3 linked regions of the Drosophila melanogaster genome follow. The protein of the gene in region 1 purifies or fractionates together with the protein of each later gene. This does not show direct contact. Each region holds a gene or a part of one and is shown on either strand. Other genes may lie near its edges.

Region 1 (3,754 bases):
TAAGGAGAGCGAGAAAGAGCGGGAGAGAGCGAGGGAAAGCCGTATGAATGGGGTTAGAGAAAGAGGCGGAATGGAATCATGTTGCCGGGAATGGCGAGAATGGAAAGGGAGTCAGTCAGTTGGTTGGGAAGAGTGCGGAGGGGGGAAAATGGACGTGGAAAACTTACCGCTCCAGCGTGTAGCGGACCAGCATGACAACAGCGGCGAATGGAATGGGCCATATGAGGTCCTTGTAGTTGGCGTGCACCACATCTGGACGCGAGCCGGGCGCAATGTCCGCCCAGGTTGTGTTCGGCGGCAGCCAAATGTGCGTACTCCAGAATACATTGCTGAACTCATTCAATATGTCCATGTTGCTGCTTCAGTTGCCGCTTCTTAATTTCTCAATTGTTTGTTTTCTTTTTCTTGGTTTTCCTTTGCTTAGCTTTCCAGTTTTTCCTTGGCGTTTGTTGTCACATATGTATATGCTTTGCTTTTTCTAAATATTCGCAATTGTATGAGCCTGTGTTATTGTGCCTTGCGAACAACAGCAACAATAACAGCAAGAACAACAATAAGCGACAACAACAGCAACAAGAACAACAACAGGAGCACCGGACACTAATGCACACTCACAGCGTAGCACAAACACACACTGGCAAAAAAACAAAAACCGCCGAATCGAATTGTTGTTGTCTTGTCTCGTTAACTTGCGCTTATGGCTTTTCTAATTCTACTTCTATTTCTATTTGGATTTCGATTTAATTCGTTTTTGGAAATGCTACCTTTGCCGTTTGTTTGGGAGCGTAAATGAAGTGAAGTTCCCTGACAATCTGTTCTCGACCAAAGCAATAGACTTTCTGAATTTCGGCTCGGTGTCGAGTCGGCCGCCGCTCGTTTCGTCCACTTAAACTTTCAGGATGAACGAAAAAAAATACTAATAGTATTTCCTCGTCGAGCAACAACAATACAGTGTGCCCAGAGACGGCGGAGCAGTAAATGTAACTGCAGCGCGACAAGTGTGCCCGTGTACGGGAAGACAAGGAAAGCCAGCAAAAATAAGGCTTTAGAAGCTACACAAAATACCAAATGCACTAATAATTTTAAAGAACTTTTAATTCACAAGTTTGCGAATTTTGTTTATTGCTTATTATTATTATTGTTCATTACGTTTACCACTAGTTTTTGAGAGAAATTATTATGCGCTACAATTAGTGTTGGTTTTTCGGTAAGAACTCATAAAAGTCAACTATGTAAAGGAAGTATGCCATGGACTATAATGGAAATTAGCAAACTTCATCGTTGAGACCAAAGGGCATATGTGTGTTCCCATATAGGGGAATTTTCCCGCTTATCAATACAAGTATGTGTGCAAAATTCTTGTCCAATTGTTGTCAGCACATGAAAACGGATAACTAACCATAGGTTATAGGAAGGATCCACTGTAGTTCTGCAATGCAAACCAGGGCTGGCAGCGAGAACACTGCTGTAAGCTAACAGCAAACTGTACTGTAAACAGTAGAAAACTGTTCGTGGTATTTAGTATTTAGCTAGTATTTTAATACCAACTTTTGTGCAATGCGATGAGAAATAAAGAAGAAGAGAAGAGGAAGAAACGCTCACAAACTCTTCGTTTCTCTGCATTAATACGCACTTTATTATTAAGTTAAGCTTTATTCCATTATATTATGGCCGAATTTCTGGACTCCGAGGCCGAGGAATCGGAGGTAGGTGTCTGCGGAACCCCAAAAACACTATTTCTAGAAGCGCGTACCGTTCGTGCGTCGTTATGTGTGCGGTGTGCGTTGCGCCTTGCGTGTGTGTACATACATATGTGCCTACATATATATTGAATTAACCAAATGGCTTTTCTTCGTTTTTCCCGCAGGAGGAGGAAGAATTGGACGTCAACGAGCGCAAGAGACTCAAGAAACTGAAGGCGGCCGTCTCCGATAGTAGCGAAGAAGAAGAAGGTGAGTTTTTCCACTGGAGCCGCTGAAGGCGCGTACAAATACATACATACATACATACGTATGTGGCGATCTCTGGCGGGTTTTTCACCCCTCTCACCATCCATCGATCGGAACAGTCCATATCCGGGATAAAGGCACCTATAACTGGCCAATGCCACACGCTTGCAACTTCTTTTGTTTACAACTTTGAGGTTAGGTCTTGTGTTTTTACCGTGCTACCGTGGCCATCAAATATCAGCATCAGCAGTAGCAATAGCAGCAGCAACAACAACAAACAGCTGCGCTCGTTCCAGTAAATAAAACAAGTGCGGCGAATTGGAAGAACGCGGCGTATTCCAAGAAATTGCAAATCAAAGCAGGGAGGGAGAATTAGTTCAATAGATGGAGCTGGAATAATCAATGGTTAGGGCTTATCTATATCGAAATCTAGGTAATTTATCAAATGTAGGTCTTTCTCAAAACCGGGTGAATTACTTAAATTTAAGCTTTAAAAACAGTTTTCAGTTGCATATGTATATCTGCGGCTACAATGAAGGTAAAAGGTAAACCGATATTCTTATTGCCCTATTCCGTAGACGACGAGGAACGGCTGCGCGAAGAGCTCAAAGATCTGATCGACGACAATCCCATCGAGGAGGACGATGGCAGTGGTTACGATTCCGATGGCGTCGGCAGCGGCAAGAAGCGCAAAAAGCACGAGGACGACGATCTGGACGATCGACTGGAGGACGACGACTACGATCTTATCGAGGAGAATCTGGGCGTCAAAGTCGAGAGACGGGTAGGTGTTCCCTTCAGGGAAGAACTATGTACTTTTTAAACTCCAATTGTGGCTCCAATTTCGAAGCTTAACTAACAAAGAATAACATAGCTGAGGGATTGGGGCTTCTATCTCCTCAAATATATTGTTTGAAATTATGTTTTCCCTTGTAGAAGCGGTTCAAGCGTCTGCGTCGCATCCACGACAACGAAAGCGATGGCGAGGAGCAGCACGTGGACGAGGGTCTGGTGCGTGAGCAGATTGCCGAGCAGTTGTTCGACGAGAACGATGAGGTATGCCACTAGTAATCCCTGACCACCAATTAATGCACAGTGTCCAACTGATTGCCCCTGATCCTACAGAGCATTGGTCATCGCAGCGAGCGCAGTCACAGGGAGGCGGACGACTACGACGACGTGGATACGGAGTCGGACGCAGATGACTTCATTGTGGACGATAATGGGCGTCCCATAGCCGAGAAGAAGAAGAAACGGCGCCCCATCTTTACAGACGCGTAAGTATACAAACTATAATAAAGTTTAGATATCAATAGATACGATTAATATAATCCAACCACAGATCACTTCAAGAGGGTCAGGACATCTTTGGCGTAGACTTCGACTATGACGACTTCTCAAAGTACGAGGAAGACGACTACGAAGATGACTCGGAAGGAGATGAGTACGATGAGGATCTGGGCGTCGGCGATGATACGCGCGTCAAGAAGAAGAAAGCGCTCAAAAAGAAGGTGGTCAAGAAGACAATCTTCGACATATACGAGCCCAGCGAGCTCAAGCGTGGTCATTTCACCGATATGGACAACGAGATTCGCAAGACAGACATCCCAGAAAGAATGCAGCTGCGAGAGGTGCCCGTAACCCCGGTGCCCGAGGGATCAGACGAGCTGGACCTCGAGGCTGAATGGATCTACAAATATGCCTTCTGCAAGCACACTGTTTCGGAACAGGAAAAGCCGGAGAGCCGCGAGAAAATGCGCAAACCACCGACAACCGTTAACAAGATTAAGCAGACGCTAGAATTT
Region 2 (3,665 bases), on another chromosome or scaffold:
AGGTGGCATATCCCCTGCGCGTGAAGCCACTGATGCCCTTTAAATACTTCCAGACCAGAGAGCAGTGGAAGGTGCATCATTATATTGCCACCAACGGAAGAATCACAAAACTAACTTTTGCTCTTGACCCACACAGATCACCGACTTCTTGTTCAGCCCCATGGTCCTAATGATGGTCTTGCCTCTGCTCCTTATGCTGGTGCTGCCCAAGATGATCAACGATCCCGAGACAAAGAAGGAGATCGACAATCTGCAGTTCCCAAAGGTAAGCCGTGAGGATCATGTATAGCACAGCACTATAGTATTATATGAATCATGCTCTGCTCCACAGATGGGCAACGATATGCCCGAGATCAGCGAAATGCTGACTTCACTGCTAACGGGCAAGCAGCCCGAGCCCAAGGAGAAGAAGCCTGCTCCGGCCGTCAGGCAGGCGAAGAAGCGCAAGGACCAGTAGTAGTTGGCCACCAGATAGCTTTTAGTATTAAGCTTAATCGGAGCGCCGAGCTCCAAGTCAGAGTCAGATCGTTTAAATAGTAAATTTTCATTACAAGACTTTGCCGCTTTATTTAAGAAATCCTACTATTTGCGGTCGCTTGAGTCCGACGCGCTGCTGCTCCAGATTTAGCATTTTAGTGAGCAGCCGGTCCAGATGCTCGCCAATGGCCAGACCCAGCTCCAGACAGTTGCGCATGGTGTCCCGGTGCATGGCTCCGCCGCCGGTCAAGTGTGTACCCGAAAGGAATGCCTGTCCATTCCGCATGGAAACTGACACAACCATGCTCACTGTGCTGCAGACTTCCTCCTCCGCCGAAGGATCCACCAGGACATAATCACCGATCTTGCAAACTGTGACCAACAGCGGAACCGTCTCGATGCCGATGCGGGTGCAGTCATACGGATTGTCCGATATGATGAGGTCTGTGATGCCGGCATCCAACATGGTGGCTGTCACCCGGGGCAGCTTTGTGTTGAACAGAGCCGCTTTGGCGGCCAGCGACACTGCGTCGTGTAGATTGCCGCCACACTCCAGAATCTGCGAGAACAGGGATTAGCATTTTCGGTATAATTAAGCACACTAGAGTCTAACCAGGATGTCTATGTACAGCTTCCAGCACTGCTGACCCGGAATGAGGCACAACGTGCGGTAGTTGAAGGCCAATGGCGATTCGTAGGCGTTCTGCAGGGAGAGAATAAGTTCTTGGGCCAGATCCGAGCCCCCGCGTCCTTCAAACTCCGGCGTGGCATTAGCAGAGCTGAAATATATATGTTATGGCATATTCTTCGAACTTCAGTTGCATCATTACCAATCCACAAAAAATTCCAGTTTACCAAACTCGGGCGTCAGCGGGTTGGGTACATCAATCTCGGTTTTGACGCCCACCAGTATGTCTGTGTTCGCCAGCCGAAGGCGAGCGGATCCACTGGCATTGCTAACCAGTCCAGTTTCCAGGTCCATGGGCCGGTAATCTCGTCGTGAACGTCCATCGCAACGAAAGTCATCCTGGAAACGCATAGTTTAAGGTACAGACTATATTTCTTGCATAACCGTTTAACACACCTCCACGCCGTGTAGAATATATGTTTTTTCAGCTTCGCTCAGTGCAACGTATGCCATTTTAGACTTAATTCAAGAAAACAAATATTCAAAACAAATTCAACATGTGCAATGAACCCACATCGATACTATCGATATACCGCAAAGCAGGGCTGCTGGCACTTCGTTTTTACTTTACTGAACTGTTGTCAGTGCGAAAGGTGTATGTTTTCATTTGAAGCATTTCATTTCACATCGCCATCTGGTAACACTTATCCAAAACAAGCCAGTCATTTCGTGTTCGTGCGGCGTTTCAACAAATATCAATTGTAAATTGAATTGTAACAAATTTAAAGATCAATATGCAGCCCGACTTTGATTTCACCGACACACCGGTCAGCACTGGTGTAAGTATGAAGAGCATCAGCCACATAACTTCGTACTAAGAGCACAATCCTACCTATTTGCAGACCACCATTATGGCAGTGGAGTTCGATGGCGGAGTGGTCATTGGAGCCGATTCGCGCACCAGCTCGGGCGCCTATGTTGCCAATCGGGTCACCGACAAGCTGACCCGCATCACGGACAAAGTGTACTGCTGCCGCAGTGGCTCGGCCGCCGACACCCAGGCCATTGCCGACATTGTGGCCTACTCGCTGAACTATCACGAGAATCAGACCAACAAGGATGCTCTGGTGTTCGAGGCCGCCTCAGAGTTCCGTAATTACTGCTACAGCTACCGCGAGTCCCTGCTTGCCGGCATCATTGTGGCTGGGTGGGATGAGCAGCGCGGCGGCCAGGTGTACAGCATCCCGTTGGGCGGCATGCTGACCCGCGAGTCCTGCACCATCGGCGGATCGGGATCTAGTTTTATCTACGGATTTGTTAGGGAGCACTACCGCCCCAATATGGCGCTGGAGGATTGCGTTACATTCGTCAAGAAGGGTAGGTAATCCCAAAAAAACCAAAACAGTTTCCCTTCAATCGAATCCCATTTAAACCTCCTCCAACAGCTGTCCAGCACGCTATCTACCACGATGGCAGCTCCGGTGGTGTGGTGCGCATTGGCATCATCACCAAGGATGGCATCGAGCGACGCATCTTCTACAACACAGAATCGGGCGCATCGGCTGTTTCCAGCACTCCCAGCTTCATTTCCTCGGAATAAATAGTATACCTACCCAAGTAAGATCGATCAGAGAAAGAGTTGCAAACTCGTCTCATGCTAATAAACCTGGTTTTTGTAATATGCATACTTTAATTTGTATTTTGGCTCTTATGGCAGTACAAAAGTTAGGTCTAGGGGCTAAAATGGTAATAAATAATCGAAAACCTAAACCTAAGATGCATAGTCATACAGATAGTGCTGTTCCTGACACTGGTCCTTCCTCACAACTCAGATAACTACTGCGGCGAGAGTGGAATGTTCCCTACGGGGAAGTCATTTCATCGCCTATCACATGACAGTCAATACCGATATCCTTCGCTTAAACTCTTATCCAGTCAGGTAGTGACCAGAGATTTAGGAGTTGAGTTTGGCCACTTCAGCTGCGTCTATAGACTGCGTCTCCATGGACTTGTTGGTGGCACATCGCTGCCTGCGGTGGCGGTACAATATCTCCGGTGTCCAAACAAGAACCACCACCAGCAGAATGACTCCTTGAGCATAAAGGCAGATTAGGTAGGAGTCGGCGTAGTCTCGCACCCATCCCAGCAGCTGGCCCACTGTGATAACAATAACGCCCTTGGACATCATGCTCAGACCCAGACCGCCGGCCAGTTTTTCCGAGCGGCAATGCGCCGATATGGTGAGATTGTTGTTGATTACAGTGGCTGATTTCATCATGCCTGTCAACACAGACATGGTGATGATCACGGGCAGCGTTTGATTCTCGGCAAGCACACAGCGAGCGACAAAGAGTCCAACAATGCCGATCAGGAACACTACGCGATAGGGTATTCTAAGGTGATCTGTGACGATGGGCAGCAGCAAACGGAACACAATGTCGGCGCCAGCCACAAGGGACATGCAGAAGGCCACCATTTGGCTGTTAAGTTGTGCCGTTTGTCCAAGAAAACCAGGAAAGATCATCGTGAAGTTTATGGTGGCCGTATAGACTAGAGCCAT
Region 3 (3,448 bases), on another chromosome or scaffold:
TGGTTACAGCAGAGAGGCTTATCTGGAACTTGTGCAGCACATCAGACAGTTTTTGCCCAACGTGGGGCTGTCCAGCGATTTTATCTGCGGCTTTTGCGGTGAAACGGAAGAGGAGTTCCAAGACACTGTATCTCTTATCCAACAAGTGCAGTACAACGTGGCCTACTTGTTCGCCTACAGCATGCGAGAAAAGACCACTGCCCATCGGCGCTACAAAGATGATGTGCCCATAAACGTGAAGAATGAGCGACTGCAGCGCATGGTCCAGGTTTTCCGAGAGGGAGCTACACAGCTACATCGTAAAATGGAAGGCCAGGAGCAGCTCATACTTATAGAAGGGAAAAGCAAGAGGTCCGATGCTCACTGGTTCGGTCGGAATGATGCCAATATCAAGGTCATAGTTCCTTCTATATATGTACCCATATCTGGAGATTCCACAGCCAGAAAATCGTTTGGAGTAGGTGACTTTTTGGCCGTCCGCATTGAGGAATCCAACTCACAGGTGCTGAAGGGCACGCCCCTCGAGCTGAGCAACATAACCGACTTTCACAGCAGACAGTTAATACAATAAAATGAGCTTTAATCGTAGTTTCAGTTGTTTTAACATCACGTCTCATTGACGTCCTCCTTCTTAGCCGTCGCCTCACTCCTGCCATGATACTTTGCAACCTGGTTGCGATAGAACTGAAAGATCTCGGCACTGGCAGCCAGGCATAGGCACTCAATATCATTGAACTGGGCTATTTTGAAAGAGCCCTTTGTCTGGATCAACAAAAGGTTTCCTTCTACAGAATCAAAGGCGAATGTAAAACTGGCGCGCTGGTGGAGGGTTTCACTTTGGTCCGGATCTAGCACATACTCGCCCTGCTCGTTGATGATGGCGTGGACAGCCGCAAAGCTATACTTTAAAGGCAGGCCTCCGATGAGCATGGCTAGGCAGGCGCAATTTACGGCGCAGGCATCAATCTGATAGAATATATATATTGTTAGAAGGATTACAGATGAAGGAGATTCAAAAACATACACTGCCACGATCTTCCAGCTCCTGGATCTGCACGGACATCTTGGAGCGCGGATGAGCCTCCGACAGGAGGGCCAGTTCCAGCACATCCCGAATGGCCGCCTCCCGAATCCGATCGGTAACCTGCGGCAGGCCCGCTTTTGGTCGGTAGTTACACTCCAAGTAGCTGCCATCTATGCTCAGGTTTTGGGTCTTCACCTCGATGGGGCCGAGAACTGCGCCTATGAGACCTGTAGCACCTGAAATTGGCAAGACCATGTTAGCCGGTTCTGGCCATGTACTAGAGTTGAAAACACGGCTATACCCTGGCTGTACATCACGGATCCGTCGCAACGCGACAAGGGATTGAATTCGCAGTGCATCTGGCGAAGCTTATCCTTTTCCACGTCCATTTTCGCTGGTAAATTCATATTATATTTTCCTAATATTCAAAGAAAACAACGTGCGCGTGCTATCGCCTCGTATTTTCGATAACGATTTCAATTTTCCCTCGACATATCGGTGCAATATGATGTTGCGATTGCACGAGCTCTGTCGATTACTGATAGGTTTGGCGGGTGGAGTTTTCATTTTAAAAATGAACCATATGTTATACAACTTTCAATTATTTTCGTCGATTTAGTTTACTGATAATTGCACAAATTTCAGGCTTTTCAAAAGATGGTGTATTACATAAATATCCGAATAGTTATTACTGCATTTAATACATATGATAATAACATACCAAGCGCAGAACACTATAATCTCATTTTAGAAAAAGAGAAGTGAACATAAAGCTATCGTTTTATAAAATATAATGCACCATATATAATGTATAAAATGCACTGTCGATCCGACTGGCGATATACGCAACTATCGCTGGCTATCGATAGACAGCGAAGGCTGGCCAGCTCCTATCCGAACTGCTTCTCCAATCAGTTTCTTGCTTTGCTCGTCCGGAATAAGTTCAGTAAAGAGTTCCAATAAGATGTCAGGTGGGTTGCCAGTCCGGAGCTTTGCAGTTCCCTCGACTACCATATACCCTGTCCCCCGAATCCTGTGGCTTATATAACACATTCGTATCGTCGCAGGCGCCAATCCCTTCGCCCAGTTCGAGAAAACTTTCTCCCAGGCCGGCACAACATACAAGTACTTTGACCTCGCCTCCATCGATAGTAAATATGGTAAGTGGATGTGGTCTTAAGAAGGCTTTAAAAGTGGGCGTGTCTGTCTACGTGGTCGCAATAAACTAGGCTAAACATGCATATCAAAAATGGGATTAATTAAGCACCTGTTGAAGTTGGAGTTTGACCCCTGAATTGAAAAAGAAGCGTAGAAGAACAGCTCAATTTGCAAGTCAGGCAATGTCAAGTAGAAGGTGCTCCCGGAGCATTAAGTGGATTTTCTATAGTTTTCTATGGGCGGGCTTGTCTTGCGCCGAAAGCGAAAGTTATCACCGCCAGATTGCCTCATAATGGGGCTCGTCTAGCGGTGATAACGAATCGTGTGCCTCCGAAATTTGATTTCCATTTCCCAATTTTACGTGCTCACTTATCAGCGAATTAAAACTTCGCAGATCTGCTGATTTGGGGTCGTAGTCCGATGACTCCGAAAAATCTCAAGATCAGTGGAATGTTTTTACTGGAACCGCGCGTGTCCAGAAATCGGGGTTCTGAGGTGAGGGCTTCTTTGGTGGCTCCTCCCATATAGTGACGCCTGTGAATCGCATTAAGTGCTGGACAAACGTAATCATTGTGCCTGTGATAAGAAGTGACTGCTATCTGACTAGCACACTTTAAACTAACTAAGGTGGACGGTTATAGAAAAAGGGAGGTTCTTTACTCTACTCGTGAATTTTAATTCAACAAGTGCAACTTAAAGGTTTTTTAAAGATACATACGTTTAGTGCGGCAAATTGTCTTAGGTCCTCTCACCAAGAGGCTTTACTGTACCTGTGATGAAATTCTAAACACTTTGATTAACACTTAACATTTCCAACGCGTAGATCAACTGCCCTACTCGATCCGAGTGCTCTTGGAGTCGGCGGTTCGCAACTGCGACAACTTCCATATCCTAGAGAAGGACGTGCAGAGCATCCTGGGATGGTCGCCCGCCCTCAAGCAGGGATCCAACGATGTGGAGGTGTCCTTCAAGCCGGCCCGTGTCATCCTGCAGGTGAGTTTCATACGGCAATCTAGCAAAGTAATATTTAAATTATATAATATCTTGCTACTAGGACTTTACTGGAGTTCCTGCTGTGGTGGACTTTGCAGCTATGCGCGATGCTGTTTTGGATCTGGGCGGCGACCCGGAGAAAATCAATCCCATCTGCCCCGCCGACTTGGTCATCGATCACTCGGTCCAGGTGGACTTCGCCCGTGCGCCTGATGCTTTGGCCAAGAACCAGTCACTGGAATTTGAGCGCAACAAGGAGCGCTTCACCTTCCT

What was found.
Region 2: the proteins of Spt6 (region 1) and Rrp42 purify together in Drosophila melanogaster (co-purification; one study listed by BioGRID). This does not show direct contact.
Region 3: the proteins of Spt6 (region 1) and Rrp46 purify together in Drosophila melanogaster (co-purification; one study listed by BioGRID). This does not show direct contact.

What each region holds. Positions count from the first base shown.
Region 1 is NC_004354.4:6,266,240-6,269,993, forward strand, and holds the start of Spt6 (Spt6), read left to right. Parts: upstream 1-1,557; 5' UTR 1,558-1,667; coding exon 1,668-1,706; intron 1,707-1,867; coding exon 1,868-1,952; intron 1,953-2,527; coding exon 2,528-2,733; intron 2,734-2,885; coding exon 2,886-3,005; intron 3,006-3,074; coding exon 3,075-3,226; intron 3,227-3,291; coding exon 3,292-3,754. Other genes in the region: schlank, read right to left, coding at 168-352. UniProt on the Drosophila melanogaster protein: Histone H3-H4 chaperone that plays a role in maintenance of chromatin structure during RNA polymerase II transcription elongation.
Region 2 is NT_033778.4:16,012,931-16,016,595, reverse strand, and holds Rrp42 (Rrp42), read right to left. Parts: upstream 1,689-3,665; 5' UTR 1,619-1,688; coding exon 1,562-1,618; intron 1,505-1,561; coding exon 1,308-1,504; intron 1,257-1,307; coding exon 1,091-1,256; intron 1,037-1,090; coding exon 566-1,036; 3' UTR 546-565; downstream 1-545. Other genes in the region: EMC7 (ER membrane protein complex subunit 7), read left to right, coding at 1-71, 137-265, 332-457; Prosbeta1 (proteasome beta1 subunit), read left to right, coding at 1,900-1,944, 2,008-2,482, 2,551-2,705; CG8389 (uncharacterized protein), read right to left, coding at 3,060-3,665.
Region 3 is NT_033777.3:10,411,356-10,414,803, reverse strand, and holds Rrp46 (Rrp46), read right to left. Parts: upstream 1,504-3,448; 5' UTR 1,432-1,503; coding exon 1,326-1,431; intron 1,261-1,325; coding exon 1,025-1,260; intron 967-1,024; coding exon 607-966; 3' UTR 572-606; downstream 1-571. Other genes in the region: CG6345 (uncharacterized protein), read left to right, coding at 1-571; Irp-1B (iron regulatory protein 1B), read left to right, coding at 1,989-1,995, 2,092-2,184, 3,006-3,175, 3,237-3,448.